Regions from separate parts of the Mus musculus genome. Here regions 1, 2, 3, 4, 6 and 7 are each reported to be linked to region 5. Evidence: microRNA targets listed by miRTarBase, many of them from high-throughput screens and not tested one by one. Region 5 holds a microRNA gene; each other region holds the end of a gene's coding sequence. Distances are between the middles of the regions.

Region 1 (4,060 bases), not on the chromosome of region 5:
CCCAGCCAAAGCTACCAGAGCTCTAAGGTACCTGGGGACCAATGGAATTTACACCTATGGTAACCAGCTCTTGAAAAGCGTGGCTGTAACAATAAATCCTCCTGCATTCACCCTGAAGCCCAACACCAGGAAACAACAGAAAACAAAAAGGAAAATGGCTTTTTGTGCTACGTCAGAGTGTTGGTGGGAGGGCCACTCTCTAAGCATCACTAAGACCACAGAACAGCAAACTGCTTTTACAGGGGACAAAACCAACACAGTCCGAGAGGACAGAGCACCCTTGCTGCACACCAGGACATCAGACTGCAGAAGGTGACTCCAAAGGAGGAAACAAAAAAGCAAGCTTTGCCAAGAGCCAGGAAATGTGCTCAGACAGTGGGGTTTCTGTTTCTGTTCAACACAGCCTGTTCATCCCACAGGAACTAAGAGTTCTCTCTGGTCAGGAAGCAGCAGAGAACTCAGCAGCAGGCTGTGCTCAAGGTTCCCACCGGTGGTCATTTTCCTACCAGTGTCTAAGTTAACTGGGAGCCTGGCCTGGCTAGCTGCTGGCCCTTCTTTGAGCTTCTTTTCCTTCTCTGACTTCTCGTCCCTTGAAAAGGGGATGTGTGTGGAAGAAGGACAGGAAGGGACAAGATATGTAAATCAACTGTTTGAAGGAGAAGGCTAAACACTGATTATCTATGGATTTCGATTGTGTGTGCTTTCACCTTGCTACAGTGGATAACGAAAGATCAGTCATACTTTTAATCTAGAAATGTTAATATTTTCATCATATATATAATTTTAAAATCTAGCTCTGTACTGGACATGAATGCTATAAAGCAAGCTTTTATATCAAATCATTAGGCCCTGAAAGATGATTTCTGCCAGTGGGAAGGAAGGGTTTTGTTTGTCCTGAAAAGCAGGTAAAGTTTCAATCTATTATATACTGGTTTGCAGTTTTCTGTAAAGTGGAAAATACCTTATCGTAAAGAAAACATCATTTAATAAGGTATTACATTCCCAGATAAGTTAGCGTATATGGGGGGGGGGGCTGTATTAACATTAGGTTTCAATTCTCTACCTGGGCAACACTTTCAAGTGGACTTCCTTATTCCTGGGCAAGACATGCAAATGGGAGGCAGTACAAACAGGGATGGGAAACCCTCAGCTCCTAGCAAACTGAGGAACAGACCTTTTTTTTTATAACTAGAATAAGAAAACATGGACCTGAAAGAAATCCAGCTTTACCAAGAAGTTGGCTTATGATCACACTAAAAGTTCTTGGCATAATTCTACTCTAAGGTAATAAGTTGACTTGCCCAAGACAGGTACAAAGAGTGGTGTCACTGCTTTACACTCGTCGATTCTACATAATCTGTACAGACCATATGTTTCTACATATTGCACTTCTACTTCCAGGACTGCAGGAAGATGTCTGGGCGCACCTCAAAAAGGCAGGGGGGCAGCAGGCATCACAACCTTCCCACACCAGGTGATGCCACTGGGAATCCCGAGTGCTGGTTATAGAGAAACCAAAATGCTGGTGACCCTTAGAGAGGATCCAGTCACCTTCCTTTAAGTCCTTCTCCACAGTCATTTGGCATCCAGAACATGTGCGTGAGTGGCTGCGGCATTCAGCTGCTTCCTGCACCACTTTCGCTAGTGTTCTATTCAAAGACACTTTAGACCCAACATGCACTTCTAAGATACAGAAGGTCGTTGATGTCAGGCCTCCAACATCCATCTCAAAGAGACTGCCTTCAACTGGCTTAAAAAGGATGCCAACAAGTGTTGGCTTGAATCAGCCCCCTTTCTACAGCTTTCTAGTGTAACAGAACCAGAGTCAGCCTCAGTTGTCCAAGGACCATGGGAGTCAAAGCACAGAGGCTGAACATTGCCTTTGGTCCCTATATAAACCAATGACAAATATCCTTCTGTCACCCTAGAAAACATGGCTTATTTAGTTTGGGATACACTTCCACCATGTGTCCAGGAGACCTGGCCCAGAGTCACAGTTTTGAGCACACAGTGGCTCAGGCTGACTTGCTCTGGAGAGGGGTCTTATGAGGAGTGCGCCTATCGGTGGCAGGAAGTAAAAGCCACACCAACAGGAAGTGGCCAGAGCTGGGGGTTAAGACCCCAGAAACGCAGGTCCATCCCCTCACTCAGAGATAAGGGCTTCACTCAGGACCACAGAGCAAAGGCTCCACTAACTTAACCCACACGGATGGAGCATAAGGCCTGTTGGGAGCCAAAGGGAGGAGACCTCTCTAAGACTGCACACCGGGCAGGAACGTTTTTTTACTGTAACTCAAAGGTGACTTTTATTTCATATCAACTAAAGAGATCTCTTTTGGGCTAAAAGAAAATGAATAATATTAAAGCTAGGTGGAAAAGAGGCACTTAAAGGAAAAATGTGTTTGAAATCTCCTACATGTCTCCTCTGCAAGGAGCCTGCAGGGGGGACTGGCTGCACCCTCCTGCAGGCCTCTAGCATCCTGACTGCACCTATGGACACCCATAGGCTTACACAAGTCACTCCTCAGCTCTTCTAGCTGCCTGAGGACAAAAGGAGTAAAAACGTACGTTACTTTTCTCTCCAGAAAGGAGGAAACAAAATCTCTCACCAACAGAAGCGAATCACCCTGTCTCACCCCTTCCTCCTGCTGGCTCTCCAATGACCCCTGCTTCTTGAGAAGGAGACCCTGTACCTTTTCCCTTAAGACCTTCCTCCAGTCACTAGGCAACCACAGCATCGTGAACACAGAAGCGGACAGCAAAGGAGGCAACAAGCTCAGGAGGCAATCAAGAACCAACAGTTTAAGAAAACGCAGGGACATGGTCCAGAGACTTAAAGAGAAACAAGTTCTAAAAAAGCAGCAGCTGCTATGCTAGTCAAAGCCAGCACCCCAAGCAGAAGGTAAGACAGTTAAGCCTGAAGGGTGCGGGTGCTGTGCTCTATCTACTGTCCGTAGACATTTACATCACACACTTAAGAGTCTACAATCCCCCACCAAGAAGTCAAAGACATATTTAAAGCCATTAATAAGCACAAGGGAAGTTCAGAACTGCCTGGAAAGAACTTGATGCCATATACATTTAATTTGAGAGACAACAACAGAGGGTGATGATGACAGACACACTAAACATTGGCAGGCCAACGCTAACCACCGGAGCGTTACAGGATTGAAGGGATCGCTAATCAGACGTCACTGAGCTGCCTGCTAGTGTCAAGGTCAGGCATTTTTACAGCAAGTCATGAAGCACCGTTGAGTCCAGCCACTCCGCACATCTCAGAAACACTAACTCAACATCCAGACTTAAGAACAACCTGCTAGGCTACCAAGACTAGTGTTCTCGCTCTATCTCCCAGACCAAGAGTTGTTGTTGCTGGCTTTTTAAGCTTTGTGTTTGTTGATGATATTTTAATCTGTAGTGTTAGTTGACATGGTCAATATGCTCAGAATTAAAAAAAAAAGGCAACAATTTCTCTCTCTTGATTCTTAACATTATTAAGGGACTTTCAGACATTCCCTCAACTCCATCAAGAAAGAGGGAGTGCATAAGTGTGGGGTGCATTATGAGGGGCAGGAGGGAGGGGAGCAAAGAAGAAAGCACATGAGAAAGTGAAATGTCCATAAACTAAACCCATTCACAAAAAGGCATCTGATGTATTTTCTGAATAAGGCCTTGATCAGGGTAGCCAATCCTCTTTGTAGCACATTCTACACTGCCCATAAATAAAGGAGTCTCTTTAAATTAACATTTCCAGTATCAATGAACAGTCCAGAAATCTTCATTTCAAACGCTCGATGAGTTCCTGTGTGAGTCCAAGGTGCAGGAGCTGTGTTCGGGAGAGGTTTGCTAGGTTGGGGAAGGCCGCGAGCAGCTTCTCCCATGCCAGTTCCAGCAGGCTAGGTACCACCAGCCAGATCTTAAACAGCGACCCAGTCCGTTTGTTTTCATGGATGTTCACCACTCCTCCGTGGATGTACATGCAACCAGCCTGTGAACAAATGGCAGTGAGAAGACGACAAAGTCAAACACCAGAGCAAGAGTGACCAAGGCAGACTCAGCA
Region 2 (4,065 bases), not on the chromosome of region 5:
GCACCACTTTACACAAACAGGAACTACAGCCCAGAAAGCTCAGACTTCATCTGGCACCAAGCCCATGGAGTTGTGCTTATACCTGGATATACCCATGCATACTAGTCTTCAGTTGTGGGATGCTGTAGGGTAGCTAGAGGTGTCGATCTATACTCTCATGCCCCCTCATGCTTCCCTTGTTAGCCGGGCAGCCACCTGACTCCTACGTTAGGTGTTTCCTCACTAAATGAAACCTCATTCTGTCTTTTCTGTTCACTCCAGGTGGAATTCCCAGAGGCCCGTATCTATGAGGAAACACTCAATGTCCTACTCTATGAGACCCCTCGAGTCCCTGACAATTCCTTACTGGAGGCCACAAGCCGGAGCCGCAGCCAGGCTTCCCCCAGTGAAGATGAAGACACCTTTGAACTACGGGACCGTGTCCGTCGCATTCATGTCAAGCGCTATAGCACTTACGATGACCGGCAACTTGGCCATCAGTCCACTCATCGTGACTGATGAGACCCTTAAGAAATCGGGGCACAAGAAGTCCTGTCTGCCACCCTGTGGAACGTACCCATTGGCCACCCTATGCTGCTCCTGCTAGCTGGGAGCCTGCTCTAGTATGTACAGGTGACAGCCCTGCTTGGGAGGTTGGGGAGCTGAGAGAGGGAAGGCCACATTGTCTTGGCTGGCCCCCCTCCCCCCAGCACTTCCAGATGCCACCCCACTTCCTGCCAATAAGGAGCTACTTCTGCTCTAGGGTGAGTGCACTGATTTCCCACCTCCTGCCAAGAATACCCCCTGGCCCTTGGCTGAGTGCCCCTTTCTTCTGAAGAGCTCCTTTAGCTCCTCAGCTGAGGCCCACGAGAACAGCTTTGTTCTAGGGGAAAGGAGGCTTCTGGTGCTGCGAGGACCCAATTTTGAACAGAAAAAGTGGCCTTTTTTTTTCCTAAGGTGTTTAAACATTGGTATAACCTGGATTTTTGTTTGTTTTTAAATCTAGATGTTAGCATGGCCGTACCTATAATCCCAGCTATGGAGAAGCCGAGGTGGGATAACATGTTCTAGGCTAGCCTGGACAACATAGCAAGGCCCTCAATATAAAATTTTAAAAAGGGGGCTCACCTAGCAAGAGTGAGGCCCTGGGCTCAATCTCCAGTACTGCCACACTCACTAGGTATCTACGAAATGACTAGTTTTTAGTCTGGGGGGAAAGCTAGGACTAAGCAGAGTGCCAGGACCCCACCTAGTAGGCACACACTCACACACTCACTCCACCCTTTTCAGTATCCTAGGACCCATCTTTAAAGCACTTTGTATGTCTATCATTCAGGGGAATCTATTCTGCCTTGACCCAAAGCTTTTTCTGACACTGATCCCCTCCTGCACAATCTTAAGGAAAGGCTGAGACAGGAGGATCACAAGTTTGAGACCAGCCTGTGCTATGTAGTTAAAAGTTCCAGGCCAGCCTGGGCTACATAGGCTTTGTTTCAAAAAAAAAAAAAAAAAAAAAAGTAGACTGACCAGCTTTGGCTTGTCAGCCTGACTACCCAAAGAATACCAAGAGGGAAAGGACGTCCAAGTTGAAAATGGTTTTAATAGCATCCTGTGGGGAAAGGGTAGGGTCACATCACTGACTCAGACTTAACAGGATTCTTTGGTGTGAGCCTCATACTTGGGTATGTTCAGCTCTAAGACACAGATGTGCTGCAGCCCCTGATACTATGTCTCAGTTTATGTCCTGGTTCTGCCTAGTGATGCATCTCCAAATACATAGTAACTAGGACCACCTAAGCCTTTGAAAGACCTTTCTTCTGGGTCACTGACCACGGATGTACCAAGATCTAGACCTGGTGTCAATTCTTCCTTTGCGCTTTGGTTTCCCTCCCTTTCTTTGTTGGGACTGGCTCTCTTACCTGGATTCTATCCAGAGGAATGTTGTCACTGGAGGGGGCTGTTTGTAAGCCTAAGGAAGTGTGTACCCATCAACAGTGCCCAAGAAGGGCCACAGATTATCAGCTGTATCCCTTGACTACTCTTATGATTGCCACATGGGCACACAAAGGCTCACCTCTTAGAGCCTATGGGCAGATGCCAAGCCCAGGGTTGGGCTCTCACAAGGATCTAGCCTGACAGGGCAAGGGGAAATGGGAAATGTGACTTAATAATCAGGCATGTTATGTTAATCACGATCTTGAATGTATAAATAGCTCTAAGATGCTTGGGTCAGGCACCTTAGTGACGAGCAACTATTAGTTCGTCCAGATCTCGCTGGAACTAAGATGACAATCCAACTTTTTTGGCCAAATAGAGGCTTTGGCTTTCAGTCTTTCCCACAGACTTTGGAATGTGACAGCATGAGGCCACCAATCTGTTTTCTCAGCTGTCCCCTAGAAGCCTTTAACACTCAGATTCTCAGACCCCTGCGGTGTTTCCAGTTTGTCTCTTTACCGCCACACCCCCTTTAGCCTCCATGAGGCGCTTTGACATCCATCTCCTCTGCTGTTCAGTGCTGTCTAGTCATGGGCTGAGGAAACATAGCAGGAGTCCCGGGTTGGGCATTCATCTTCTTTGACTGAAAATTTCTCCTTGGTTTAAGGAAATAATACTGAAGTGATCTGGACTCGTGAGATTTACCAGCCCTGTCCTAAAGGAGTTGTAGCAGGATGGGTTTTTTGATCACAGGCAGTCCAGGGGACTTAAACATAAAACATGCATGAGGGTCAGACTGGACGCTGCTCACAAACACCAGCTGTGTGCTGTTGAACCTGGGACATGTGACTGGTTGGCCTGAAGGGTAACACAGGTTCTGGCAGGAAAGAATGTGCCCTTTACTACATACCTGCGGTCTCAGTTGCTTACCTTAAGTGATGGAAGTAAACACTAACTTCTAATAAAGTTGTTTTACACTGCTGAGCCATGTTTCCAGTGAGCAGAGCCTGGCCAGCTCACAGCTGTGGGCTCAGTTCTTTTATTTCTGTTCCCTCCATGACCTTGTGTTCTAGGTAGTCAAGAGACTCATTCCTCTATAATCCTACAGACCCACACTCCCCCTGGTGGAAGATTAAGAACAATACTCAGAAGGACTAGAACTGAGATTTAATAATGCAAGAATGAAAGGACCTCTAACAGTAACTATAGTGGTGAAGGAATCCTAAGACCTGGGGCAAAATGCAGTCCAATTCTCTGGCTCCTGTTGGCCTGAAAGAAGCTCCAAAAGCAGCTTGACTTGGTCACTGACCATAACTTAAGCTGCTTCTTGGCTGAATTCCTGCCCCTGTGGTCTGGATGCTTGACAGGCTTTGCTCAATGCTCAGAAGCCCACAGTTCCCAGAAACCTGACTGGTTTTGCCTCACTCTTCTCCAGGCCTAGTGAAGCCAGAAGTGCTGGTGGGTAATCCGTGTCTATAGTCAGGTCAGTCCAACTCTACACTGGCCTCCTCTACACTGGGCGGAGGGTAGAGAGACCCGGAACTTAGTCCAGTGCTGCTCACTGTTACCAGTGCCCCAAGATGTCCAGCCTCTGAGGAAGGCGCACCCTAGCAGGGCCAGCAGCTCCCTAGAAGAAACTTTGCATGAAAAGCAACTAAGAGTTCCTAAAGGGCCAGCAAGGGGGCCTGAGACCCTGGAGACAAAAATGGCCGTGGTGGCCAAGTGAGCACTGGTTTATTGACCACACCTCACATTCCAGAAAACATGGGACAACTGAACAGTTCCCTGACAGCTTTGCTGGAACGTGGTGTCCTGGACAGCGGCCAAGGCCAACCTTGGAGGAGTCTTATGTGGGTCTTCCAAGAAAAGTTACAATCTCCCTCCAAAAAAAGAATTTCACAGTAGGGAGAGGTTTAGAGTTCTGCAGCAATTATGGGTTGAGAGCTGTTGTTCTTAGGGCCAACCTGGGCCTCAGCTGGCCTACCAGTGAAGGCCTGAGGGTGGGGTCTTCTCATCTTTATTGCTTTCCAAGGAGAATGGTGGGATCCGGACATCAAAGTGGGAGCCATCCGGTCTCTCAAAACGAAATGTGCCCCTGAGGATTGGAGAAGCGGGTTTAGAGGGAGTAAGGTCTGAACTGAAGCCTCTTGA
Region 3 (4,065 bases), not on the chromosome of region 5:
GTCATCTGATCCCTGCAGGGCAGGATTAGTCTCCAAGTGCCCGGTGTGCAGGCACCAAGGAGACACAGGTACCAGCAGACCACCACTGGTGACATCATCACCAGCATCCTAGGTGCCACTGGTTCCCAAGGCCTGAGTGAAGGACAAGCAAGTCTTACCAAAAAGGCCACACTTTCTGTGGTGACCTCATGGATCTGGGGTGGTAGAGGCGCTTCAAAAGCATGTCTAGACTCCTCAGGTCGCGCACAGTGGTCCTCCAGCTTACACTTAGACCCCAGGCCATGGGAAAGCCACAATGCCTTTCACCACCAGGAATGCTACTTAGGATCTAAAACTTCCTCATTAATATGTAGCATCCACTACAATCAGACTGTGCCAGGACAGCAGCAGGCAGAGGTGAAAAGAACACTGCTGTGGATCCCAATCAAAAGTGTTTTACATGCAAAGCCATAGCCCCATACCATCCCTTTCCAGCAAGCCTTCTGTTGTCAGGAATGACATGACTGAAGAATAAAAGGCAGTCCAGTCAGCTGAGGAAATTTGATTTCCTCAAGTACTACAAGCCACCCTTACCCTTTTGCTCGAATGGCTCTCTGTTGGTGCTGCACTGTGGGTCAAGATGATCCAACCGCCCCACAAGGTCAATCCCAAATCCAGACTGTGGGCTCTCAGCACTGTGACCACCGTAAGTGCACTTCCACTAGGAAGCAGTTTTCTCAGGACAGAGACCCCTCCCAAACAAAGTGTCTGCAGCCTCGGCACTTCACAGGACCTCAGCAGGGTCCCTGGAAAGGCACAGGAAGAGCTCTTCCTGTCTGCTGCAGAGCAGACACTGCTCCAGGAACTGGCTGAGCACAGGCCAGAGCAGCTCTCAGGCATGAAGAACTTCCCTCCGCTCTGGCCCACAGTCAGGACTTTATCTTTCAGGAAATTTTTATCTAAAAATTCATTCATGAAAGTGAAAAGGGGAAACTCTGAAATAATGGTCCTTAAGCCTGACATCAGTACTGGTCAATATTTGAAAAATGCCAATTATCTACTTTACCAATCTACTGTCAAAACAAAATAAGACTCTCCAGCTTAAGTCCTCTTATGGAAAAAGAATATGAATAAATAAATAAATACAAAAATATATAAACAAATAAATACATAAATACATAGATGATAAGTAGATAATAGATTAATAGATAGATAGATAGACAGACAGACAGACAGACAGATAGACATCACAAGTAAAATAGCTACAAAATGTATGGCATTGCCTTGGCAGGTTTCTGGACATATGTCTAAAAGCCCAATACTGAAAAGATAAATTCTGAGGGATCATCACTGGTTCCAACCTGCCTAGCCAAGATTCCACTACACAAGTCTTCACTTAAATCAAGTGGCTGCCCCAGTAACAGCAACAACCCCACAAATACCCCTTTGATGAGCTGGGACAACCCTCAGGCTCCTTCCTCTGGACCACTAAGCTCTTCTGCTAGGGCCAGTTCAGCCAGAAGGCAGTAGGTTCATCAGACACCCACATCCCCATGCTAGGAAGGACACAGGTAACCAGAGCTCAGAAGTCTGCTGAGTAGAGGGTCAGTCCTCACCGAAGTCACATCAACTTCCTATGGTACCTCTCATGAACCTGGGGTGCTTCTTACCCCGTACCTCATCCTTGACAGCAATGACATGCAGTGCCTTCATAGCATACTGGCGACAAGGGGAAGTGCCCTCAGTCCATGCCGATGCTGTGTCACATTCAGAGTTACCGGCTGGAAATTCTGAACATGCAGAACCTTGAAGTGATTGAAAGGTTCTGAAAACTGGTTTGAGACAGGGAAAGCTACTCAAGTCCAAGTGAAGAGCTGTGCTGGGGCCACACAGAACAGCTGTGGGGAGACAGGGACAGGCTCTGGCCAGCTCATTCCTGCCCCAGACACAGGACTCACTGTCCAGGACTGGGCAAGGCTCATCAAAACTCATGTAGTACATTTGGACCAGCTTGGTGTTGCTGCCTTGGGCCTTCCTGAGGCACTGGGGTGGGGTTTGGAACTCCATCCACAGAATCCCAAGGCTACCAACTGCCTGACTGGTCAGCTAAAACACAAAATGGTACACTAGGAAAGTATTAACAAGTTAAATCCCCTTTATGGCCAAAAGTCTAAACAGATTTATTACCTGCTTGTCCCAAATATTCTCAAGTCTATAATCAGCAAGGTCCACACAGTAATCCTAACAGGCTTCAGAATGACAAAAGGTGACTTCACTGAAACAGGAGCAACCTAAGGATGCTCAAGGCCGTGGTTATGGGCCCACCTGCTGTGACACTCACCACTCAAGAGTTAAACAAACCTGCAATCCTGCAATAAGCTCATCTCTCTCACCCACCAACAGCCCTGGGCAGGACAGGGAAAGACCTCTAGAAGCACCCACAAAGGCATTGGGTCAGAAAGTGGGAGGAACAGTCACCCAACACCTAGATATCCTGTCTAGTGGACACCAAGAAGTTGTAGCCTGGAACCACCCAGGTGACCAAGACATTTTCCACTTCCTGTATGGGAGTGTCTGAAGAGAGCACCCGTGTCATCTTCTCTTGTGAGGACTGGCAGTGAGTACTATTAAGATGGTCCCTGATCTGAATGTGGGCAGTCACTTAATGGTTAGTTCCAGGTGGGTCTCCTAAAGGTAACCACTGTCTGAAGATCCCCAGGGTAAGACATCAGAAAACCCTTGGCAGAGCAGATGGTGCCCTATGAACACTGTTCTGGGACCTCTGTGCAATAAGATAGAACCCCAGAAGCCATCTTAGACGGAAGACAACTCCCAAAATAGAACAGTGGCAGCAAAGAGAAGGGATGTGCACCAGGCAGCATAGACAGACAAACCCAGGCAAGAAAGCAGGCTAGCAAGTGCACGAACCGAATTCCTTCTCCCTATATCTTTTCTTAACAAACCTCTTTCTGTTTTGATATCAAGCCTTAAAAGAACAATAAATTGCAAAGTAGGAACATAAATAGATGCATAGCCTGGAGAAAAAAGCCTTCCCCACTAGGGCAATCACCAGGCTCAGCCCATGCTGCACACATTGCCAGGAAGAATCCAAAACAGAGAGACTGAAGAGGAACAAAATTAAGTTTGTATGTGCCTCTCAGTTGACAATGACTCAAGGAGCGTTCGATGGCCCAAGCACCTGAGATAGAATCACAGTCCAAGAGAACACAGCCGTTTCTTCTTCACTGACAGCCAAGGATCAAGCTGGCAGCACAGGCCATGGTTCCCAGGATGCCAGAGTCTGTGTCAGTTTTCACTGCAGGTGATCGGCTTCCACATTGCAGTCAGCACTGCATGTGAATGCTACTCATAAAGCAAAAACTTCTTTATGGGGTCTGGCAGCGGCAGCGAGGGAACCAGATGCAGTCGGTATTTGCCAAGAGCTCTTCTCACAGCCACCCGGCACAAACTCAGCAAGGTCCTGGGAATACCTGGGGAGTGTGAGGAGAAAGAGGAGGGAAAGGTTACTTCTCTCGTAACTCGGAAGGCCCAAAGCCAACCTTCCTCATCTGAGTCGAGGAGGCTCTGGGAGCTACTAGAAGGCTTGCTATCTGCATCTTAGCCAGGGCATCTGCTCATCTGTCAGCCACTCCTCCCTCTGCAATGCTTAGTGCCCTGGAAAAAGGCCACCCATGGAGGACCCACAGATGAGAACAAATGACCTTCGCTCTTGCTCTGTCCCAGCAGGTCACAGAGGCCTGGGGACACCAAGTGCACAGTACTTGAACTCAGAGATTAGGCTGCCGGTCTTCCTGCCTCGATGGAAACTACACAGCTAAACCCCTGCTTCAGGAAGGGAAGGTGACCAGAAGAAGCTTCCTTCTGTTCCTGGTTCCCACCCGGAGGCCATCAGCCAGCACCTTGGAGAAAAGCTAAACAGGAACATGTTTCTGAGACCTGGCTTGAGTATAGCTAACAAAAACACACTGCTACTAATGTTCTTTGAGAAATAGAGGACCAACGACAAACTATCAACTCATATGTCCTCTGACAAGATGGGAGAAGTGAGGGGTAGGCATCAGGCAG
Region 4 (4,065 bases), not on the chromosome of region 5:
GCTTTCATCCTCACTGGATTTGAGCTGAGGTCTTGGTCATCTTTTTGTTCCTGGTCCTGACTGTCCTGGAACTAGCTCTGTAGACCAACGAGGCTGGCCTCAAATTCAGAAATCCACTTGCCTCTGCCTTCCCTATGCTGGCATTGAAGGTGTGTGCCACCATGCCCAGCAGTGTGGCCCTAAACTCTTAATGCATCTTAACACTGATGGAGCCTCAGTAGCCGGGCAGCAGGAACCTGCCTCAGTAATTGTGTCCGCTGTGAGACGCAGTGCTCGGCCATGCAGGAATAGCACTTGGTAAAGTGTGTGAAGTCAGCAGGGTTGTGGTTTGAAGGGCTACCCAGGAGCTGCGTGGGTTATCCCCTGCTAGAGCTCTTTGGGATGAATGCACAGGGTTAGGAGGATAACTAACATCCTGTCTGTGTTTCTGCTGTGCACATAAACACTCGTGTTTTCCAGGGTAAGTCCAAAGAGCAGCGTTCCTGAGACTGGCCTGATAGACTGCAGCACTTCACAGGCCGCCAGTTCTCCAGAACCAACCAGCCTCAAGGGCTCCACATCTCTGCCTGTTCACTCAGCTTCCAGAGCTAGGAAAGAGCAGGGTGCTGGCAGCCATTCCGACGCTTGAAGAAAACTGTCTCGTTCCCCCAGAAGCACATGTATGTTACACTGGAGATGACCAACTGATTTGTCTTATAAAGGCCACTGTTGAGCTGGGAGAGTAGCCCAGTGGTACAGCGCCCACCTGGAATACTTGAGGACCTGGGGTTGTCTCCCAGCACTGCAAAAGGAAAATTCACTGTTACAGTCTTCCTTGCACTTAAACCAGCTTTGTCTATTGTTTTTTTGGTTTGGCTTTTATTTTTGTTGCTGTTATTTTTGTTGTTGTTTGTTTGTTTTTTTGTTTGTTTGTTTGAGACAGGGTTTCTTTGCTAGCCCTGACTGTCCTGAAACTCCCTCTGTAGACCAGGCTGGCCTCAAACTTACAGAGATCTGCCTGCCTCAGCCTCCCGAGTGCTGGGAATAATGGTGTGGTCACCACTGCCCAGCCTTTTGTCTGTTTTTAAACTTGAAAGAAACAACAGCCCAGATTTCAAAAATAATATAATGCATTTATACCTAAAAAACCAACCAGGAGTGCCCAGTTAATAACACTTTTTAAATGTGGGGATGGGAAGGGCATTAGAGGAGTCTTCCTTCTATTGAAGATTCATTAAAGTATTTTAAGATATGCTCTTTCACTCTTTATATAAATCCAAGATTTTTCTTTGCTGAAGTATTTAAAACTTTTGTACCTTTATATGTAGATATGAATTTGAAAATATGCTTATGTGTATTTGAACTTTTGAAAATCCTAGAGAATTGAATCAAATATTTTTATGATGTTTTTCTACTATTTTAGCTACTTTGCGACTGTGATAGCTGTTACACTGGATTTTTAAAAAACTTGTACAGCAGCCTCTTTACAGTAAAAAGAGTGGGTGTCACACTGAAAGGTCTGTAAGAAGTGGTCACAGCCACCCCTACCTTCCCCAAAAGGAGGAACTTGGTGGCAGGTCCCTCCCTGATTGGACTGTCCCTTTCTTTCTGCATGTTATAAATCAGCAGGTAAGATGGTAGGTTTTTACAAGTTAGGCCGAGCTGTCGATTCCCCTTTTAAGTGTTGAATTAGGATTGAATTATGGCCATTTGTAGTTGCTCGTGCCTGTCTTTATTTTAGTATTTTATTTCCCGAGACAGGAACTCACTGTGTGGTGCTCCTTGGCTGTCTGGTGTTCAGTCTGTCCCAGGCAGGTCACAGAGATCTCCCCCTCTGCAGCCCACTCATCTCTCCCAAGCCACCACACTCAGCTTTTATCTGTTTTAAAAATTTAAACTTAAAAAAATGTTTTTGGAATAGTACAAACACATTGTGTTGTAAATTTCTTTGATGCTATGCAAAATTCCTATCTGCATCTAAGCCTGCAAAAGAAAATGTGCGAAGGGCAGAGTCAGAGTTGGGCAGGAAGAGTGTAGTGCAGCAGATGCAGCGTGAAGACACTGAAGGTGCTAAGACAGCGTCTCAGTGCTGGTCCTCCTTAAGGATTATCTCGCCAGCGAGGTTTTCTTAGATACTTTGATCCCATTGGAGCTCTGTTAAAGTTTAAAATGAAAATTATCATGTACTGTATGGGAAATGTAAATACTAACTTTTCCACATATGTAAACTTCAGACACAAATTTTTTTGTGTGTTCTTTTCATCAATAAAATTTTCTTTGTATAAAAGATTGTATTGTGTGCTAGGTATATAGTACTGACCCAGAAACAGTGTAGCCGTTTTAGATTGATAAAGGCAGAAGTCAGAAGCTTCCTTTCAGCGGAGGTAGGAGAAGACAGTGAAGAACTTGCATATTGTCAGTTTCTTCCCCAAGTGTAGTTTTATAGCCATATTGCCTACAGTGTGTTGGAGCCCATGGGAGGCCTGCTAGATTAGGCGAAGCAAGCCGGAGTCCTTGGATCTGCTCCCAACAGTGGATCAGATCATTTAACCAAACCTCCTCAGTGAAGCAGTCTTGCTTTCCACATACTAAACAGCTAATAAAGGGAGGACTTGTCAGGTAGGACTCGGGGTCAGAGGAATTCCTGTCACCAAGCCCAGGGTTTGCAGCTTGTCTTGTCTGCAGCCATTGCTACAGAGTGTTGCAGAGAAGTGGACAGTGTTATGGAAGGAGTCTCAGAGTGAAGCTAGGTAAGCAGGAGAAAGGGACCAGTGCCTTCCATAAATTTAGAATTGTGACCTCAACCACCTGAAAACCACCGTGCTTCATGCTGTCTGTGTGGGACAGAGAAAGCCCAGACTCTGGCCCGGGGTTAGGAGCCTCACAGTGGAAAGCAAATGAAAGTCTTTTAGAGAAAGAGGGTTATTGTTTATGCCCTCTGAATTTGTTTCAAGACAGGTTTGCTGGCCTAAGCCGGCCTACATTTTACTGTGTACTCTAGACCAACCTCTGGATTGATCACTGTCCTTCCTACACCTGAGTGCTGGGATTACGGGACCACACCACCATGCTTGGCCATCCACAAACCCTAGAGACTGGAGACAGTTCAGCAGTTAAGAGCACTTATTACAGGGACCTGAGTTCAATTCCGAGGATCCACAATCATCCCTGACTCCAGTCCCAGGGGGTCTGATGCCATATTCTGTCCTCTGTGGGCACCAGATACACTGGCAGTGCACAGACATACATACAAGCAAAACACTAATACACATAAAATACATACATGTATAATTTTAAAAAATAGTGTATCAGGCCAGGCATGGAGGAAGCACATGGTTTTAATCACAATAGTCAAAAGCAGAGGTGGGCAGATCTCTGAGTTTAAGTCCAGTCTAGTCTACATAGTGAGTTCCAGGACAGCCAAGGCTATGAACAGAGACCCTGTCTAAAAAACGGGGGGGGGGGGGGGGGGGGGGAAAGGGTCTATCATTGATGTCCAGGAGTCACTCCACAAACCACACAAACACTGATCTTAATCAGACAGGGAGAGTTTACTGAGCACGTGCCTGGGAACTGATCAGTCAGGGCTGCAGACCAGACTCAGGACTTTACTACAACCCTGAGGCCAGTATCCTGTGGAGCTTTTAAACCTGAAATCCACAAACGCCTGTGCCAAATTATTCCACCAATCAGGATTTAGGCATAGGGGACTTCCTTAGGAAAATGTCTTTGTTGTACTCTCAACCTGTTCCCATTGGTTGAGGTTCACCTGCGGTGGGGCCTTGCCTTGCCTAGCATTCACGTCTTAACTTGCAAATCAGAATGTCACTTACTTTCATATACATGTCGCTTTCATCCAAATATGGTGTCAATTCCCAGGGAGATTTTAGGAACTTAAAACTTTACCCGACCCCTATGGTACATGTGCCTATGTTGGGTTCCATCCCAGGGGCTGCTTATAAAGGCGACAACCATAAAAGCCCATACATAAGGGACAGGAGGCACTGCTGGGCAGTGGTTTCTGCTCCAAACCTATTGTGGCTAGCTATTCAAAGTCACTCTAACTGAGCTCTATCGTGACTGGAT
Region 5 (4,065 bases):
TGGTATCAGTCATGCAACTAGTGGTTGCTTTGTGTGGCGGGCACAGAGTTTTATTGAAAATTGGGCTGGGGCTCCATGGGTACCGTACCCAGTCAAAGCATTTGAAATTCTGAATCCAACACCGTGTATGCTAGGCATGGTTCTCAGGGACTGGAGGCAAGAGAACTCAGTGTTCAAAGCCATCCTGGGCTACATTCAGAGTTAGAGAAAAGCCTGGACTACAGGTGACACTGTCTCAAAGCAGGCAAAGTGAAAAGAGTGAGGAAAAGAAAACAAGAAAGAGAAAAGAATTTCAGGGTTTTCTAGAAGTACCTTTGATGCCAATCCCTCTTTTAAAAGTTTTATGGCCGGGCAGTGGTGGCGCATGCCTTTAATCCCAGCACTTGGGAGACAGAGGCAGGGAGATTTCTGAGTTCGAGGCCAGCCTGGTCTACAGAGCAACAGCCAGGTCTATACAGAGAAACCCTGTCTCAAAAAACCAAAAAAAAAAAAAGTTTTATGTATGCACATGCTTTTAATTCAAACACTCAGGAGGCAGAGGCAGGTGGATCTCTGAATTTGAGGGTAACCTGGTCTACAGAGTAAGTTCTAAGACAGCCAGGTTTATATACAGAAACCCTCTCTTTTTTTTTTTTTTTTAAATGTAATTCTTTTTTTTTTTTTTAAAGATTTATTTATTTATTATATGTAAGTACACTGTAGCTGTCTTCAGACACCAGAAGAGGGAGTCAGATCTCATTACAGATGGTTGTGAGCCACCATGTGGTTGCTGGGATTTGAACTCTGGACCTTCGGAAGAGCAGTCGGGTGCTCTTACCCACTGAGCCATCTCACCAGCCCCAGAAACCCTCTCTTAAAAAAAAAAAAAAGAAAAATTTTTATGTGTGTTTATTTATTTGTGTGTGGAAGCATGTGTGTCACAGGACATGTATGGTCAGAGGACAACTTGCAGGAGTTGGTTTTATCCTTCTACCCAGTTGATCCTGGGGCTCAAGCTTGGGTTCCCTAATTTCAAAGCACTCTTTCCCTCTGAGTTACTCCACTGGCTCACCATTCCCTATTTGAGTCTCCAGAGAAAGCACGGTGCTGTGACCCAGGGCCCTGAGGTTGTGTCTCTGATCCTATCATGTAGATGTGTTTGAGTGACAGGCCAATAGCATGGGAAACACTCCTGCACTCTCCCAGGGCCCGAGACCTTGCTAGACACCCTCTCCTGTCCGTGCTAGACTTCCCTTAACCCCCTCCTGTCCCAGTTTCCTGCCCCTACCTGTTTGTGTATTTCAGGAGAAAGGTGATAGGAGTCCACGCTATGAGGCTGGCTGTGACTTGTTGTCATATCATATCAGAACAACAAAATCACAAGTCTTCCACATAGCACTGGCTCACGTACTCCGCTCCTCGTCCTCATCCTCCTCCGCCAGGTTCAACACCCTCAAGTGCTTCTCTCTCTCTCTCCATAGAGGATTGAGCATAACAAACCCCACTCACTGACTTACCCTCCCTAGACATCCCTTTTCCATTCCATCCCCTGAGACACAGGCAAGATTCATTCTCTACCTGCCCCCCAACTCACACCCTGGCACATCACCAACGTGGGATTTATTGTTCCAGGCACGAGGAGCACACACTTGTCACCCCAGCACGCAGGGAGTAGAGGCAGGAGGATGAGAACTTCAAGATCATCTTTGGCTACACAAGGAGTTCAAAGCTTGGTCTACAGTGTTTTAAAATAATAATAATTATATATATAATTGAGAGAAAAACTCTTTTTAAAAATAAAAAGAACTTGAGATTTAAAGTTGGATTGAGGCTGGCTTTCCCCTCACCACTTCACTTTGGAAATTAGTACACCCAGAGGCACTCATAACATCTCGTTGACCAAATGCTTCGCCTGTACTCTGTGAGTTTGAAGCCAGCCTAGTCTACATAGTGAGTTTCAGAACAGCTAGAGGTACACACAAAAAAACCCTGTTTCAAAAAAGAAAAAAAAAATCCCTCCGTAAAGGACAAATGCCAAGAACCATTAAGAGGTTCCTTCCCTGTACACTCTCCGCCAGAACAGACCCCAAGGCGATCCCTGAAGCTGGGTGTTGAGAGCTTGGCACTGCCAGGGGCCGGGTGCTGAAGCCTAGTCTCTTCGTGACCCGCTGGGAGCTGTCCGAAATCCTGGTGCTGAAGCCGAACTCTGCTCCGAGTCCCTCAGCCGGATGGCGCTGTCCGCGTCTCCAGTGCTGAAACATAATTAGTTATTGGGGGAGGGGGTGGTCAGTGCGGCTCGAGGACACTCTCCCAGCTTCTGCCTTCTGCCAAAATGCCCCGCTCCTTGTTTCTGTTCTTCGTCCTAGGGACCCATCTTCTGTTTTAATCTCTTCCCATGGACCCGGGGTGTTCTAGGCGGGGACGAAGGCGCAAGGCTCTCACCTGCTCCCACATCTCAGGGAGACAGCCCTGGGTTCTCTGCCCTTCCTAAACAGTCCAGTTGGCCTTCTGGAAGATGTGCCAACTTGCATTGTACCCAGAGTCCCCGCTTCCCTCCCTCAGCGCACCTTTTCCTCCTTCCTTCGTGCCTTACCTTCTCCTGCTCACCAGCAGCTGCAGGTGTCTCGGTGGCTGTCCAGTTTCCGACGTTTCACCTTTATGCGCTTAAGGGGAAGGCGGAGCGCTGGAAACCCTGGGTGGGGCTTAGCCAGTGAACCAATAGGAATCGTCTTGGAATGAAGCTCCAAGGATTACCTCATAGGTTGAGGCCTCGGCTTCAGAATAAAAGTCAGGCATCCGTCCAAAAACTTCTTTAGGGGTCTCCAGAAGGTGTCAGGGTGTAGTCCTGTGGCCTGTTAAGTTTCCACGAGAGGATCATCTAAAACCTGATCACTGAGTAGCCAGAGGATTAGCGATCATCAAGCGTGTGCCTGCTGGGACAGAGAAGCTGAAAAAAAATGTTTGAAGAAATTGAGGGATTTTGAAAATAAAGTCCAATTCTACACAGGGAAGATGAAGTGTGCGGGAATGAGACTCACAGAAGCGTAGGATAGAGGCGGAGCTCTGGCGATTTTTGTTTTGTTTTGAGTTAGGGTCTTGATTTGTAGTCCATGATGACCTCAAACTTATGATTCTCCTGCCTCAGGCTCCCATCAGGAGTTTGCCTCCACACTAGATTGATGCAGTGCTGGGAATGGAACTTAGTGCTTTCTGATTGCTGGGCCAGCGCTCTGTCCCTGAGCCCTAGTCACAGTTTCCCCCCTCTAACACAGTCTCTCTCACTTTTGTGATCCTCTTGCCTCAGCCTTCTCAGCACTGGGAAGGCTGGTGTGTGGCACATCACACACCTTCATTTACATAGCTTCCTTTGTAGCACCAAAGGGACAGACAGTCAGGGAGGACACACACTCAGGCTTGTAAATCTCCTACCAGCTCCTCAGGCTGCGGAGCTGGCAAGCCAGGTTCATTCTATACACCCTAGGGGCATGGGAGGAGGGGCTGCAGGGAACCTGGGATGAGACCCTGGAAAGCCACCTGCAAGATCTAAGCTCTGATCAGTTGTCCCTTTCCCTTCTAGCAGTCTCTTGGGTAAAACTTGCATGCCCCACGCCCTTTGTTTTTCTCTCTTATTTCTTCCCATTCTTTCAATTTGGATATGAACCCAGAGCCTTGCAGTCCCTCAAAGAGCTAAGTCATCTCCCTGAAATTATAAGATTTATTTATTTATTTATTTATTTATTTATTTATTTATTTATTTATTTATTTATGTGCACATGCACAGTACATGCATAGAAGTCAGCAGAGAGCTTGTGGGTCCTGCAGCCCACATTTAATTTAATTCATTTTAAACCTTTGGAGAATTCTTGTTCTTTTTATTGTTTGTTTGCTTGCTTGCTTGCTTGTTTGCTTTTTGAGACAGGGCTTCATTGTGTAGCCCTGGCTGTCCTGGAACTCACTGTGTAAACCAGGCTGGCTTCAAACTCAGAAAGATCAACCTGTCTCTGCCTCCTGAGTGCTGGGATTAAAGGTTGGCATCACCACTGCCACGCTGGAGAATCGTTTGGGGCTACGGGAAGCTGTTTGGCA
Region 6 (4,065 bases), 9.3 Mb from region 5:
ACTTTATAAGGATTTTTAGAAACCCTATCTCTTGTATCCCAGGCCTCAAACTCATGTACTTGAAATGACCTTGGACCCCTGATCTTCCTGCCTTTGCAGCCCCCCTGCTGGGATGCAGGTTGTAAATACTATAGTAGCTTTTGTGTTGCTGGGGGTGGAACTTAGGGTTTCCCAAATGCTCAGTAACTAAGCTATGTTCTCCAGCTCTAAAATGCACGAGTAGCAGAGAAGCTGCTGGGAAGGCACCTCATGTGACTCCAGTCACCTACGATTCTGGAAGGGGTGCAGGACAGAGGAGTGAGAGGCAGCACTCAGGGCAGGGAGGAGGGGACCACAAAGGGGTGTGAGGGTATGTTCTGCAGGGACTGCTCTAGTTCTCAACTGTGCTGGTTAAACAACTGTGCATTTGCCAAAATGTAAACAACCCTGTATCCTTAAAGAGGGTTAATCTGTCCGTAAAGTATACCTCAGTAAACATCACTAGATAAGGGTGGGGTCAGAGCTGGTGGGTTATGGTGGCACAGGTTTTTAATCTCAGCATTTGGATTTTTGTGAGTTCGAGGCCAGCCTTGTCTAGAGTGAGTTCCAGACAGCCAAGGTTACACAGGGAAAAAACCCTGTCTCAAAAAACCAAACCCAAACCAACCAACCAACCAACCAGATATAGTTAGTTAGATAGATAGATAGATAGATAGATAGATAGATAGATAGATAGATAGATAGATAGATAGATAGAGAGCCAGCAGTCAGTGAGAGGCAGCTGGTCTAGGGCAGGAGTTAGCCTTAATGACCAGGAGGTGGGAAGCCCAATGGAGACCCTGGTGTTTGACAGTGTCCCATGGAGAACTTGATGTTTTGACTCAGTCTGGTAAGAGAATTCTGAGAACACAGCAGAATTCCACTCTGAGTCGTCTCCTTCTTGAACACATCGCAGAAGCCAAGTGTCGGGTGGGTGTAGAAGAACAAGGACCTGCAGGGAAGCAGGCAAGGCTGAGAGAGTCTCCCACAGACCTGCTGTGCACTGCTCTGCGGTCCAGGGGCCCCAGACTTCCCACTCTCACAGACAACAAGAGGAAAACTTCATAGGCTGAGCTAACGCCCATGCCTCCCAGAAGGTCAGTGTGGCCTGGCTAGTGGTCATAGCTGACACTAATAGTTTAAGCTTCTTAAATTTTAGGCTAATATCGATGTCCCACTTTTGCAGCAAGGTGACACAAGGAGCTTTGCTGGGGCCCCGTGTGTGCGAATGACATGGAGAAGATGGAGGCAAAACTCAATGTCAACACTAAAGCATTTATTTGAATATCTTTACTTTTTACATATGATACATCCCAAATTTTACAATTGTCCACAGATATTAAAATTATAGCCAATTTATTAAACACATGATCTCCCCTGATATGGAAAGCATGGTATATAAACATTTCTACAACAAAAACATGCGGAACAAGTGGAAGTAAGACGTGTCGGTAGGGGGAGGACATGACATTGCCACAGTGTGAGGACTGCCATTCCCTGGGAAGTCACTGCCCAGACCCTGATGTTCCCAGGAGTGAAACACAGGGCCACCTCTGCTAATCCCAGGCTCCTGTGGAGTCAGGTGAGAAAGCAGATGTTTTCAGCCTGTTTAGAAGCAAGCTGTGCTCATGATTTTTTTTTTTTCCTTTTGGGTTGGTACCAGGGCTGAACCTAGGCCCTCAGTCACACTAGGCAAGTGTTCTAGCACTAGGCTCAAGTCTAGAGACGTTCCCATAACTTTACAGTTAAGCCTTGTGAACGGAAGGTGAAGAGCCAACAGAAGCTGAACTTAAAATCTAAAGAAACGGCATGTGCCAAAGGTCGAAAGCATCACCATCCACAGCCCAGTCTGACTATGCCAAGGGAAGGCGAGACAAAGGGAGAGCACGGAGTCTAGCTTGGGCTTCCATTACAAACTCTCTGTCCTGAGCCTGGGCCGCGCTGAAGAGCTAACTGAAGTCCATCCTTTGAAGGGGAGGCAGCTCCTCACATGATCCTGGAGACTGTGCTACCTGCATTTCTTTGAGCCTCTGGTCTGGATTTCTGACTCTCCTGAGACACGGAGGCATGGATAGAGCTGAGTGGATGTGATTTGAAAGGCTGAGTGAGAGGTTCTTTGATGGTTAGAGAAGCTGAAAGCCCCTTTCTGTTCCTGGAGACTGGAGTTCATCCCTCTGCTGAACCTGCTGTCACCATGTCTATGTGACTTCTCTGAATGTGACGGATATCCGTCAGACGAGGAAATAGGTGTGCGGTGTGCCAGAGCCGTAACTGTGGCACCAAGTAGCTATAGTTCTAGAAAGGCTGCTCTTAGAATAAAAAGAACAGGCGTTTGTGTGCACAGGCTGAGGAATGTCCTAGATCAACCAGCAGACAAGCAGCAACACATCTGATCCAGATGCGGGGCGGAGCGGGGCGGGGCGGGGCAGGGCAGGGCAGGGCAGGGCAGGGCAGGGCAGGGCAGGCAGCTCAAAACACTGCCTTCTGGATTTCGTTTGGTTTGAGACAGGGTCTCCTCAAGTTACCCACGCTGGCCGCAAGCTTGTAACACAGTTGGAGCTAGCCTTGAACTCCTAGTGCTGCCTAAGCATCCTGAGAGCTGGGATTGCAGGCTTGGAGCACTGTACTCAGCCGAGCTCTTACTTGTCTGCTGTGGTCTGCTTGAGGGTGCGCACATGCTCTCTGTTTAGCCTTGGAGCAGAAGGCTATAGTCTGAAAAACTAGGAGGTCCTTTACATTTCAAAAAGCCCTTTAATTGAGTAATGCTTTCAAAGCTAAAAGTCTTGACCAACCATCTACAGCCATGAAAAGCCGGCTGCTCTCCTGTTAGAGTCCCCAGCTCTCTAGGCCATAGGGGGAAGCGAGTCCTGTCTTCAAATTGACTTGCTTTGCTCTGGAGGTGAGGTCTAGTCCCAGAGCTGAACCGCATCCCAGTCTCAGGAACCATGGTGGGACATGTCCTCCTGACAGGCCCCAGGGCTCCTTTTGGCCTCTGGTGGACAGCCAGCAAGCTTGACACCATCAGCAATGTTGACTGGCTCAGGCTACTGCAGCTGAAGCAGGCAGCGTCCAAAGGAGCTAGACTCCGGTCTAGAAAGGGCTCTCAACCCAGGGGACGTCCGTCTAAGGGACACAGCAATAAAATCTGGCAGAAATGACTTTTATCAGTCCCTGGAGCCAGACTAGAAAAATAAAACTGGGAAGAAAAGCTTAAATAAAGAATTTATTTCAAAATAGATTCAGCCGAACTTATTTCCTGTTGTCTTTCTGGAAAAGCCAGCTGTGTTACAAAACTCCAAGTCAAGTTTTTAGTAGAGGAGCGATTATAAATGCTGCCAGTCAATTCCGACCAGGGTCTGGTTAGCCTCCTGCGCGTGTCCGATCTCCTCTGTGATACTATGCTGCTGCCAGAGCTTCTGGATCTTTCGAAACCGCTCTTGGCATAAATGTAAAGGATTTCCTCGTCTAGAAAGAGACACATGTCACTCACAGGCACAGTTTATCCATTCCTCATGTCCCAACACATTCTGTGCCAGGAAAGGTGTACAGCACTAGCTTCCAACTGTGTATTTTCTGTATACACACACACACACACACACACACACACACACACACACACGCACGCACGCACGCACGCACGCACACACGCACACACACACACACACACACACACACACACACGCACACACGCACACACGCACACACGCACACACGCACACACGCACGGTGTTGGGTTGTGGGTATGTGCTGAAGAGAAAAGGTAGGTACTCCAGTGCCACACAGTTAGACTGAGGTCAGGAAACAGGACTGCTGGCCCAGGTCTGAGTTAAGAAGCTAAAACTCTTTATTCTATGGTGATGTGCAAAAAGGTCGTGGGGCAAAGGACAGGGTGGAAGGATGACAGGACAAGACAGGGGCTGTCACCTAGAAGCCTCAGCAAGGTAACTAGATGCTTGCTGCTGCTGGGCCCATGTTAACAAGATAACTAGACACCTGCTGCCCCTGGGCCCACGTTAACAAGGTAACTAGATGCCTGCTGCCGCTGGG
Region 7 (4,065 bases), not on the chromosome of region 5:
CTGCTGAGTCAGGGACCGTGCTTTGAGAAGCACTGCCTTGGAACTGCAGACTCTTCAGCAAGTCCCCGTCTCGTTTCATTTCTTTAGGTATTTTGTCTCAAAAAACTCCCCATATTTATAAAGTTACATTTATTTTACTAGAAAGTTTTATTGTGTTTTTATTTATTTGTTGCTCCTTTTAAAAATAAGTGGGAATTTAAAAGTTGTTGGGCCCTTAGTTATTTTTTTTCCTTTTTTCTTTTCTTTTCCTCTTTCTGTTCTTTGAAGCTGTGTTGACATCCTTGTCTCCTGTAGACCCAGTGGAATCTGTAAGTAACTCAGAACCACCCATGAATTCAGATACAGAAAAAGTCAATAGTAATGCTACTGAAGAGGAGACTAGTAAGCCCTGTGCCGGCGACAAGGAAGACAGTAGGACTGAGTATGTGTGTGACAGCCCAACAGAGGGGCCAAGCAAAGACACCTCTGCAGACACAGGCCTCCTCCTTCCAGGAGCCGAGGAAACCATGTGCCACCAGCATGAGAGTGAGGCTAAGTCTCCTCAGGCTGCTGCTGCGGGGGCCACTGCCCCTCCGACTCCCAGGGACACACTGCAACTCTCCATTAAGCAGAGGCTGGCTCGACTCCAGTTGCCACCAGAATTCACCTTCTCTGCTGGCCTGGCTGCAGAAGTGGCCGCCCGGTCCCTGTCCTTTACCACCATGCAGGAACAAACTTTTGGCGACGAGGAGGAAGAACAGCTAGTTGAAGGCGGTGAAAATGAGGTGGAGGAAAAATAAAAGCCAAGATGAAGCGATGGCCTTGATTGTTCTTTTTACAAAAGTGTTCTAGCTGCAAGACTGGAAAGAGAAATGAGTGTGTGTTTACTCTCTATAAGGCTACGGCGTGAATTTACAGGGTGAATACTGATTTGAAAACCTGACCTGAAACTAGTAGATACCTGTCTAGTCAGATCCTTTAGGCATAGGAGAGAAAGGTAAGGGACTTTTTTAAAAAATAAATAAATAAACTGCTGTTTTATTTGTGGCAAAACTGATAATCTTGGCAAATCTTTAAGTACTTTTAATAAGACATGAATTTATCACTTTTTGCCAAAACTTTGCTGCCACAAGGTAACTAGGGTGATTGTCTTCCCGAGCAGAAACATTTAGAATGAGCCCTTTCTACTGTGTCCTTGCAGTGTGAACTGCAGCGGTCATGTTAATACATTGTTCGTACTTTATTTTGTTTATACCACTCGTAAAACAAAGAGACAGGTTCTAAATAAAAGTATTTAATTACCACAACCGATGTGTGCTGGGGTTTGGAACTGGAAAGTAGTTAGCAGGGAGCTGGGACTGCAGCGTATCTTGGACATTTCTCACGGGTCATGCAGAGGTTAAGAGGACAATGTCCTCTTAGGGGACACCCCATGATGTCCAAGCGCTGTCACTCCAGCAAAGGCCCCAGCCCCAGCCCTGCAGGAACTAATTTACATCAGTTTACTGGAAGACAACTGTGCCTCTGCAGTAGGTAGGTCCTGTGCTGTCTTCTAGCCTGGCCTGCCTTACTAAGACTCAGGAAACGCGTCAGCTATCTTGGAAAGCATCCTTGTCCCTTTGTGCTTCATCGTGAATGCGTCTCGAGATGCTTTCCAGAGACCAGTCTTGTCCGCTTTGTGCTGGAATTGTGTTTTCAATGAAATTTGCAGAAACAGTCTCCTTCTGAAACCTGTTGCCACTGTGCGCTCCCAGACTTTATAGGCATTCTTCTGTGAGGAATGTAAGAAAGAAAAACAAACAAAAACAAAACAACAAAACTCAGTTGATGCTGCTGTTTCAGGAGGAAAGTATCTGACTTCCTGTAACTTACTGCTTTTAGCAGGAAGCTTACTTCTTCTCAAGGTTTGTTGTTGTTTTTGGAACTGTTTCTTCTCCTGAGGAAAATCTTTCCCTTTGTCTACACTGTTGGTGATGTTGCCTTTGCTGATACTTAGCAGTGCAGCATGGCCAGAGCCGTCAGTCCCTTAAGTCAGACATGGAAGATGCTTAACTTCAAGAGAAAAGGAAGTTTTTTTAGGGAAATTTTGTTAAGCGTTCTCTTAATTTTTAACACAGGAAAACTTAGTCATTTTTAATTCTTTTAGTCTATTTTGATTCAACCATAGCAATTTCATAGAAACCCATTCATAATCTTATTTGCCAGTTTTTATAGCATGATTCATCTTTTTGGGAGTAGTATTCTGACAGCTTTTACTACAGATACTGCCAACATTGGTTTTACCAGGATCAATCTAGAACTCAGAAGAAAAAAAAAGCGTGCTTTTTGTTTTGGGGTCACTCATGAAAACAGAATTTTTACCCTTGGTGCATCTGCAGATGGGCAGGTCGGGACAGTAAGTGGTCTGTGGTCACCTAGCAGATGGGCAGGTCGGGACAGTAAGTGGTCTGTGGTCACCTAGCAAGCCTCAAAACTTTTTCTCTGTTTCTGTAAGGCCCTGATGTCTGTCAGATGCAGGGCCAGAGTCCTGGCTAATCTTTCATTTGCAGTCCTCTGTGATTTTTTTTTTTTTTGGTTTTTTTGGGTTTTTTGGTTTTTTGTGCAAGCTATGCATATTATCTAACTTCATAAAGCCCTTGTTGTCCTTCTTAAAACTAATTAATAGTCACAGCATCTGAACCTATTAGGAGTTGATGATAAGTGAGTTAGGAAGAGAACACACATTTAAGGCAGATTGCTAAGGATGTTTAAGAATACAGATTTCAGACCGTGACGCGACTTGTACTGGTGATGCCAGCACCCCAGGTGCACTGTTAGGAAGGCTACTGCGAGTCCGAGGCCAGTTGAGCGTGCTCCAGGATAGCCAGAAATACACTGTGCGAACCTGTCCAGGAAGAAAAGAAAAAAGAAAGAAAAGAAAACAACAGGTGCCAGGTGTCTGCAAAAAGAGGCGGGAGTTTGAATCCCAGGCCTTTTGTTCAGAGGATTCAAGTACTGTGACCTTATCATCTAGGGAGAGTCTTCTCAGGAAAACTGTAATTCCTGGAAATGCAGAAAGAAATGTTGGTTTGGAGGCTGGAGAAGTTATAAATGTATAGCTCCATTTATTAAAGTAGATAGTAATATCCTACTTTATATACTAAAAGACAGTTGCTTGAATGGTAAGCATAAGAAAAGTCAATTTCTGATCCATTTAAAAGACTAGAACTTGGCTGGGTGTTGATAGAATTGACCTCAGGTTGTGTCACTCAGATATTTTCTTCCCATGCAAAACATGAATCATGCTTCAAGTTGCTAAATGAATAGAAACACTAGGGGGAGGGCTGTTATCAGTTAGCCATAGCATATTGCTTTTATACTCAAATAGAGCAAGGATACCAGAACCAAGTCCTGAAGCCAAAAGTGAGTTTTTTCCAGATCTGTGTATGGGGACTTATTTGTACTTTATGCTTAAATTAGAAAAAAAGATTCAAAAAGAAAAATGTAGGAAATAAAAGACAGCAAAATGTCCAGTATAGTGACCGTTCATTGTCTTCGTCAGCTGGTGACTAACTTGAGTCCCCTCATCTCTCAGGGAACAAAAGCAAGCCCATGTATTTAGTCCTTGGACTTAACAGTCTGCTTACAGGATCACGTCTCCTTTTCTCCCTTAACTCTGGCACGTACCGGAACTAGCTTAGCCTGTCCTTTGGGAACCGGAACTAGCTTAGCCTGTCCTTTGGGAACCGGAACTAGCTTAGCCTGTCCTTTGGGGACATCAGTTCCTTTGGGGAAGAATGCACACGTCCCCTCTCGGGGACAACTGGGATTGATAACGTCAGGCACTCCTTTGCTGCGAGATTTCACATTGCTTGCTTTTTGAGTCGTGTCTGTTTTTTTCACAGTTTCTCTTACCTTCCCCTATAATCCGCCGTGTTGTGTGCCTGCCTTCCGCACTAGGCCCCTAATTTGCTGCTTTTAATCTGCTGTGGACTGAGAAACCCGATTGCCACGCTTGCTAGAACTGTGTCTAAACTAAGAGTAAGTAGACTGGAAAAGGCCGAGAGCTTTTCTGTCGGTCGTGTGCATGAACCTTGTATTGCCTGG

The links. The annotated mature microRNA mmu-miR-7b-5p reads UGGAAGACUUGUGAUUUUGUUGUU and lies in region 5 at 1,347-1,370, opposite strand. An mRNA with a match to its seed (bases 2 to 7 or 8) in the 3' UTR can be bound and repressed. Matches are read on the target gene's strand: a 7mer-m8 pairs with bases 2 to 8, a 7mer-A1 pairs with bases 2 to 7 and ends in A, and an 8mer does both.
Region 1: miRTarBase lists Klhdc10 as a target of mmu-miR-7b-5p. Seed matches in the 3' UTR shown: 7mer-A1 at 609-615.
Region 2: miRTarBase lists Tnfaip1 as a target of mmu-miR-7b-5p. The part of its 3' UTR that is shown has no 7-base or 8-base seed match.
Region 3: miRTarBase lists Asb1 as a target of mmu-miR-7b-5p. Seed matches in the 3' UTR shown: 7mer-m8 at 2,800-2,806.
Region 4: miRTarBase lists Fzd6 as a target of mmu-miR-7b-5p. Seed matches in the 3' UTR shown: 7mer-m8 at 808-814 and 7mer-m8 at 1,191-1,197.
Region 6: miRTarBase lists Ubr2 as a target of mmu-miR-7b-5p. The part of its 3' UTR that is shown has no 7-base or 8-base seed match.
Region 7: miRTarBase lists Vezt as a target of mmu-miR-7b-5p. Seed matches in the 3' UTR shown: 7mer-m8 at 1,128-1,134.

Annotation. Positions count from the first base shown.
Region 1 is chr6:30,450,415-30,454,474 of GRCm38, reverse strand. It overlaps Klhdc10 (kelch domain containing 10), which reads right to left. Exons shown (of 10, transcript NM_029742.3): 10 at 1-3,988. The coding sequence ends at 3,779. Among named protein-coding and RNA genes, the nearest start is that of 1700012C14Rik, 8.5 kb to the left of the region's middle.
Region 2 is chr11:78,521,738-78,525,802 of GRCm38, reverse strand. It overlaps Tnfaip1 (tumor necrosis factor, alpha-induced protein 1 (endothelial)), which reads left to right. Exons shown (of 7, transcript NM_001159392.1): 7 at 262-2,953. The coding sequence ends at 498. It overlaps Poldip2 (polymerase (DNA-directed), delta interacting protein 2), which reads right to left. Exons shown (of 11, transcript NM_026389.3): 11 at 3,067-4,009. The coding sequence ends at 3,895. Among named protein-coding and RNA genes, the nearest start is that of Poldip2, 11 kb to the right of the region's middle.
Region 3 is chr1:91,554,156-91,558,220 of GRCm38, reverse strand. It overlaps Asb1 (ankyrin repeat and SOCS box-containing 1), which reads right to left. Exons shown (of 5, transcript NM_001039126.2): 5 at 1-3,470. The coding sequence ends at 3,343. Among named protein-coding and RNA genes, the nearest start is that of Asb1, 16 kb to the right of the region's middle.
Region 4 is chr15:39,035,927-39,039,991 of GRCm38, forward strand. Fzd6 (frizzled class receptor 6) reads left to right here. Exons shown (of 7, transcript NM_001162494.1): 7 at 460-2,266. The coding sequence ends at 628. Among named protein-coding and RNA genes, the nearest start is that of Gm7194, 4.2 kb to the right of the region's middle.
Region 5 is chr17:56,240,322-56,244,386 of GRCm38, reverse strand. It overlaps Mir7b (microRNA 7b), which reads right to left and starts at 1,399; the gene lies at 1,289-1,399. A230051N06Rik (RIKEN cDNA A230051N06 gene) reads right to left here and starts at 2,671. Exons shown (of 2, transcript NR_155493.1): 1 at 2,573-2,671; 2 at 1,582-2,231.
Region 6 is chr17:46,927,018-46,931,082 of GRCm38, forward strand. It overlaps Ubr2 (ubiquitin protein ligase E3 component n-recognin 2), which reads right to left. Exons shown (of 47, transcript NM_146078.3): 47 at 1,274-3,483. The coding sequence ends at 3,342. Among named protein-coding and RNA genes, the nearest start is that of Prph2, 19 kb to the left of the region's middle.
Region 7 is chr10:93,966,907-93,970,971 of GRCm38, reverse strand. It overlaps Vezt (vezatin, adherens junctions transmembrane protein), which reads left to right. Exons shown (of 12, transcript NM_172538.5): 12 at 268-4,065. The coding sequence ends at 779. Among named protein-coding and RNA genes, the nearest start is that of Mir331, 5.1 kb to the right of the region's middle.